Coturnix japonica: one gene and its partner. The protein of the gene in region 1 purifies or fractionates together with the protein of each later gene. This does not show direct contact. Links are inferred from orthologs where the notes say so. Each region holds a gene or a part of one and is shown on either strand. Other genes may lie near its edges. The genes, in order: S100B and IQGAP1.

Region 1 (4,402 bases):
GAGCTTGCCAATGTGCACCTCAGGCCCAGCCCAGGAGCCTCCTATGCTTTCATTTCCAGTTCTGCGGACAGCTATAAGCAGGAGGATTCATAGGCAGGAGAAAAGCCTGGGCTGTTACATGGTTATGCTTTGCCTTTCAAGCCAGGAGTTTCTCAAGTTGCCAAGGACTGCATGGGCTCTGCTCCAGGGTTAGTAGCATGCGTGGGGCAGTCAGAGCCCACAGAGATCACAGAGTCTTTCTGTGTAGGCCAATGGGCTCAGAGCCAGGCCTCTATAACCAGCCTCTCTGCATCACGCCCTGCCTCACCCCTTGAATTTTCCTTTTCCCTTTGCCAGCAACCTAAAGGATTGCAGCGGCCACCTGCTTCCAGCCCGCTGCCTGTCCCTTGCACACAGCAGCAGGGAGTGAGCCTGAGATGTGGCATTCGAACACATGCCATCCCAGGTGGGCGCTGTCTAAGAGGCTTTCCCAAGATGCATGGGCATTTCTGCTCACAAAGCTGCAGAGTTTAATAAGCTGCTTAAGTAGCGCAAGCTTAACTTCATGGAGCCCCCAGGTGCATCCAGTCTTCTCCCAAGAGGAGTGGTACCGCTCTGCATCTCTCCAGTGTGAGTGGGAGCTGCTCAGCTGCTTCTCACCAGCTCACTCGTGCTCAAAGAACTCATGGCAAGCAGAGGTAACCATGGCAATGAAGGCCACGAACTCCTGGAAGTCACACTCTGCATCCCCATCACTGTCCAGTGCCTCCATGACTTTGTCCACGGTCTCCTGGTCTTTGATCTCCTGAAAGGGCAGAAATGGATGTAGTAGCATCTGCTTAACAGCAGCCCTACCAGGGCACCTTGAGCCCCACAGGGTAAGGGTGATAAACAGGGTGATAAACCGTCCCAGGGAATGAAATCTCCCTAGTGTCCAGCCCAAGCCTCCAGCCCTGACACAGGCTTTGTCCTGCCACCACCTGCTCCTGGGGAGCTGGAGCCTGAGCCCAGCTGTGCTATGTAGAGGGCAATACTCACACCAAGGAAATGAGTTAATTCATTGTTAATGAGCTCCTTCAGCTCCGATTTCTTCAGCTTATGCTTGTCTCCTTCCTTCCCGGAGTACTGGTGGAAAGCATCAATGATGGCAATCATGGCCTTCTCCAGCTCAGACATGGTCACAGCACAGTCCTGAGATCAGAGGGAGGCGACGGGCACATCAGCAGGGTTAGGCTGCAGTGATGCATCAGAGCCCTGCTGCAACCCCCCACCCAACAGCAGCACAGGCAAGCTCTGCCAGTGGCTCTCACTTCAGAGAAGATCCCAGGATCTGTGGTTCTAAGGGGCCTTGGCTCTGAGTGCTCCAGGTGAGCTGCAACACAGGGAGTGGTGGCAGTGGGACAGGTGCATTCCCTGGAACCAACAGGAGTGTGCAGAGCGTGGGAGAGAAAACTGGAAGGAGATGGGTGGCAAAATCCTGGAGGCTTCTTGCGTTTCCCATATGTGCTGAGCTGGCTGTCAGCTGGGACAGGGTCATTTGCTAAGCTTGTGTTGCCAGTCCCCTTTGGGAAACCTGCATAGCAGAAATGGGCTGCGGGAAGCACAGAGCACTGGTCTGTGCCCAGGATGGGGCTCCAGCTCTGGCTCAGAGCTGCCTTGGATCTGCTGGACCTCCCCCAGGTCTCACCGTGGCTGGGCTGCATCTCAGTGCTGCTGCCTGGCGCTCCCCATGGGAAGGAAGCCCACTTTCAGATGGCTCAAACCACTATCAAAGTGCGGCAGGAACTGGACAGTGTCCTTGTGCCACATTCTCAGCTGATGGAGCACCCGTTTAATCACGCATATTGTCACCTCACCCAACTCTTTTATTCCTACTGGTCAACCCGTTGCTTTCCTTGGCAAGTTGGGGACAGGAGCAGGTAAGGGTGGGGGGATGCATTTCAGAAAGGCTTTGCTTTCCCTTTTATTTCAGGTGCCCACACCTCTGCCCTTCTTGCCTGCAGGCCCACTTCCAAATGAACAGTCGGGAGGGCATGAGGATTCGATTTTGATAGTTGCAAATAGAAAGAAACAAGGGCAACTCCTCTGCCTGCCTTCCTCGCACATCTGACCTGGTGCAGGACTACCAATAATTTCAGCTATTCCTGCAGATTCCACAGATATCCGTACAAAAATAACCCGACAGGGAGGGATGCAAATCCACCTTCCCAGAAGCTGCTCAATGCATTTACACTGGGCTTAAAAAACGCAACGGTTTGGTGTCCGGTCCTCGTTAAATACATACCGCAGGGGTAAATGTCTGCCATTGGTTAACTCAGCTCTGCACCGGCCTCTGCGGTGAGCAAAGATCTCAGCTCCGGAATGGCAGAGAACCATGGCGAACCAGCCAACCAGCCCGCCCGTCGGCTGCTCCCCCACCCCACCCAGAGCCCCATTCCTTCTCACCTCCCTTGGCGATGCTCAACGCTGCGGCTGCATCCCAGCGGCTGACCGCCTTCTTATGCCCGTGGGCGTGGAGCTTCACCCGTGCCGCAGCGCCCGGGACCAATGGCAAAGGGAGGCCGGGCCGTCCCGACAGCGGGCTGGGCTGTGCGCAGTGGCACACGGACGCGCATCGGCGCCCAGCCGACCCACGGCGGCCGTGGGGGCTGCTACAGGAGGCGGCCGTTGTGAATAGTGCGGGGAAGCAGACCCCGTGCACTGAGCAGCGCGGTGCCGGAGCGTGGCCGTGCCGCAGCTCTGCCCGCACGGAGCCGACGAGCAGCAGCGGAGCTGCGCGACGCTCCCACCCGCGGCCCGGGGGCTCCGCACGGCGCAGGGGCTGCGCGGCCGCTCCGTTCCGCGCCTACAACCGAGGCGACGGCGCCCGTGGCGGACCGTGCCCTCGCAGAGCCTCGCGGAGGGGCGGGCCGTGTGCCGGGAGCCCGAACCCCGTCGCTCCGTCCGTCTCCCCGCGCCCGGACGAGCGGCGGCGCTGCCCTGCGCTGCGCTCATCTGCTGCACGTGGGGCCGGCACGCGGCGCGGAGACCGTCCGCCAAACACAGCGAGCGCAGAGGCACCGAGCGGACTTTTATTGCGCACCTCAACCCGAGCCCGAGCTTCTGCTGCCGGCACAGCTGCCGCCGCGCGTGGCCGGAGGGAGAGCCCGGCGGCAGCGCGGCGATGGGGCGGCCGATGGACGCAGAAGGAGCCGGGCCGGGGGCGGCTGCCGCCAGAGCTCAGCGCCTAGTGGGGGTGGCCGTGGGGGTGGGGGCCCGGCGGGTGGTGCCCGGGCGGGTGATGGCCGGGAGGATGATGCTCGGGCGGGTGATGCTCGGGCGGATGATGGCCGGGAGGATGATGGCCGGGCGGGTGATGATGCCCGGGAGGGCCGTGCGGTGCAGGTGGGTGCCCAGGCCCGGGATGTGGCGGCGGCGGCCCTCCGTGTGGCCCTGCAGGAAGAGGGGAGCGTCAGGGCTGCGGGGCGGCCACGCGGCTCTGCTGCAGCTGCAGTGCCCCGGCCGCCGTGGGAGGCTCCTGGACCCGGGCGCGGCCGGGCTTGCGGGCAGCGGGAGGGGACGTGGGCACGGAGCGGCCTGGCAGCGCGGGCACCCCCAGGGCCGCCCGAGCCCTTCCCACGGGCGCTCACCTGGGTGTGGGGATGACATCTTCTCACGGCCCCGAGCTGCAACGGAAGGAAGCACCGCGCTGTCAGCGCTGCCTGCCGTGCGCGACCCTCGTGCCGGGCGTCCCCGTGGCCCCAGGGCTCCAGCCCACGTGTGGCCCCGCACGGACGGCACCGCCTGTCCCACACACGTCCCCGTGGCCACCCCGACCCTCCCGGGGGTCCCAGCTGCAGCCGCCCTCCCCTCTGCAGTCCCGGCACCACCCCGGCTCGTGGTTTCCCTCGCTGATGCAAAGAACCCGACCCCGGCCTCACGCAGCCCCTCGGGGCGGCGAGGAACAGCCGAGCCCCGTGCCGGGCCCACGGCCTCGGGGCCGCGTGGCTCCACCGAAGAGCCGGCCCTGCTGCCTCCCACCCCGCCGGCCGCTGCCGCTCAGCACCTGCACAACCGACCGCACGGACAGCACGGCGGGACCGGCGGCGTCCTCACGCGGCACACGGGCTGTCCGGGCCGGCCTCGGGCACCCCGTATTTATACGGGACCCTGACACCCGACGGGCACGGCTGCCTCATAAACACGCCGATGGCTTTACGGTGCCATCATCATGGGGATGCCCAGCAGACACACGGCGCACCCAGCACTGCGCACAAAGGTCTGCAGCCCTCGCCGGGCGCTGGCAATGGGTGGTGGCTCCTTCCACCAGCTCCTGATCCCGGCGGTCAGGGCCAGGGTGGGTCCGGCACAGCGGGTCCAGGCACGGAAAGGGGGCACGGGCAGGTTCCTTCACAGCCACTGCACAAACCTGTGCTGGAAAGAC
Region 2 (2,480 bases), on another chromosome or scaffold:
AACCTGACCTAGTAAACGTGGATGTTTGGTGGCCCTGACAGGCAGGGGGGTTGGAGCTTCATGATCCTTGAGGTCCCTTCCAACCTGGGTCATTCTGTGATTCTGTGATGATGCACCTGACAAAGCCATAAGACTCCCTGCACTGCTCATCTCAGCAATTAATTCATTTACACAATCTCCTCTCTAGAACAGCGCATCTCAAAGAAAGCACTCGGGTAGTACTACTGCGATGAACACTGCATGCATTCCAAAATCTGAATCTTGCTCCTGACACCAGAACGAACATCAAAAAGCTTTTTTTACTGTTTTCCATAAAAATTCTGGCAATGCAAGACTTTTTAACAGAACTCATTGCTAACACTGTACTTGGATGAGCTGTGGCAGTTTGTTAATAATGGTTTTACCACACATGCTTGAGAACCAAGCAACCTCAAATAGCCAGATGAACCAAGAAGTCTGTGGCCAGCTCCAACACATCAGCACTGGAATGAACTACAGGAGTTCCCAGAGCAGATGTACGGGATGTGTAAGGCAGCTATCCCTCCCAGTAGTCAGTCGGGGACTGCAACACAGAAGTATCTCTGTGCAGAGTGCTTCTGTATGCAGTTTGTTCCAGTACCCATAGGACATCCACAATTACCACATCTAACAATACCTGGGAGGCAAGTTTTGGCAGACACTCGTATGTGGACAGAGATGCCAGATATAACAGTAGTGGTGTTGGAAGAAGAATGGGGACCATTAGATAAAACCTGCCTGTAAGCCTGTTACGATAGACTCATGTAAGTAAAGGCTGAGGAGTCACAAGAACTAGACAGCTAAAGAAACAACTAGGTGCAGTGTCGCAGAAAGAAAACCAGTGACAAGTAGCTGAAGTCATCACACCCAAGCCCAGCTGACATATACCACAGACTACTGACCTCTGCTATAGCAAAGTGTTGCCGAAAGCACACGCATGTGTATGCATACTTATGTAAGTGTCACTAAGACACAGACTTACTTAAGGCTTTCATCAGTAAAGAAACAAATTAGCCTCAGTTCCCCCCTTGGCACTGCATCTGTTTTGTTTGCAACAAATCTGCTGCTGTCAAGATAGCTTCTCAAAGAATCATAGTATGGGCGGATGTTGGAAGGGACTCCAACACCTGGCAGTCCCACCCCCACCAGCTCCAGCTGCCCAGGACCCTGTTCAGCCTGGCCTAGGAAAAGATTTTCCTCCTTATATTTAACCTAAATCTGCTCTCTTTTAGTTTAAAGATGCTCCCCCATTTTCACACTGTTCAGGCAGAAAACACATAATTAGTATTCTGATAAAGAGTCTGGCAAGCAGAAGAGAGATTTGTTGTTCATACACATCCCATGAAACTCACATGATGGATGCTGTCCTTATTAAACAGGATTGTTCTTACCTGATAATGTAACATAAAGGTTTCCATCTGTACCCCCATGAATTTTGCTTTCACCTCAAAATCTCCTACTTCTTCTGTTGGACTGATTTCAAATATTACATTTTTAAATCTGTGAATTTAATAAATTAAAAAACACAGTTCATGAACATGCAGTTCCTAATGACACAGGGAAAGCACACACCAGATGAAAGCTAAAGATAAACTTCTAATTTTATTCCTAAATTCTAATCCTATATCCTCATTTGGAATGAGATTCAGTAGAAAAATGAATAACAAAACATAGTCCACAACAACGTAGCCTAATGTTCTACACCAGCAAAATGCAGCTGAACTAGCTTATGCTAGCCTTGAGAGTTAGTAATCTCAGTAGCAATTCACTTGAGGAGGAATCCTGCCATGAGAGGGGTTGTGGGAGGAGTGCAGGGAGAAAGAGGGTGTCATCTTTAAATGCCATTAAACTTATCTACCAGAGATCTGCTCCCATTTAACCACAAATAGGAGAACAGCACATGATCAGTTTGTGAGGCTTCACAGCGCTGTGCCAGCCTAAATAGTCCAAAACAGTATGCAACATTTCCCTCTTTCTCTGGAAAAGCTATTTAGCTTTTAACTAATTTAGCTATTTTAACTTACTGGTTAACTTGCAGGTCCTCAATTTCTAAAAGCACTCCCTTCTCATGAAGTCGAGCTGCGGTGTATTTTAGAGAAATCTTTTTACTATTTTTGCCTTTCATCTCTCGAGGCTTCTTAGAGACTCTGAAAAGAAAGGATTAAAAAAAAAAAAAACAAAAAAAACCAGAGAGCAAACAAAATATAGTAAACAATTCATACTATGTGAAGGAGTGGCGAGAACCAGAATAGACAGCTCAACCAACACCGATATATTTCTATTACCAAGTTTATCTACACAGCACCGGTAGCTCAGATCAGATCTTTGACTCCCTACTATTTACCAATAACTTACACAACAGAAGCAGAAAAACCAAACAACAGCACTTCCTAAAAAGCACTACTACTAATATAATTAGGCAAAAGTTTTTATGGTTAACCAACTGTTTTTATTGGTACTCT

Evidence for each region.
Region 2: the proteins of S100B (region 1) and IQGAP1 purify together in Homo sapiens (co-immunoprecipitation; 3 studies listed by BioGRID and IntAct, with this or other methods). This does not show direct contact. The link is inferred for Coturnix japonica from reciprocal best matches to the Homo sapiens genes S100B and IQGAP1.

Annotation. Positions count from the first base shown.
Region 1 is NC_029522.1:2,450,518-2,454,919, forward strand, and holds the start of S100B (protein S100-B), read right to left. Parts: upstream 2,850-4,402; 5' UTR 2,425-2,849; intron 1,171-2,424; 5' UTR 1,156-1,170; coding exon 1,018-1,155; intron 785-1,017; coding exon 644-784; 3' UTR 1-643. UniProt on the Homo sapiens protein: Small zinc- and- and calcium-binding protein that is highly expressed in astrocytes and constitutes one of the most abundant soluble proteins in brain.
Region 2 is NC_029525.1:18,470,748-18,473,227, reverse strand, and holds part of IQGAP1 (ras GTPase-activating-like protein IQGAP1), read right to left. Parts: intron 2,166-2,480; coding exon 2,043-2,165; intron 1,519-2,042; coding exon 1,410-1,518; intron 1-1,409. UniProt on the Homo sapiens protein: Plays a crucial role in regulating the dynamics and assembly of the actin cytoskeleton.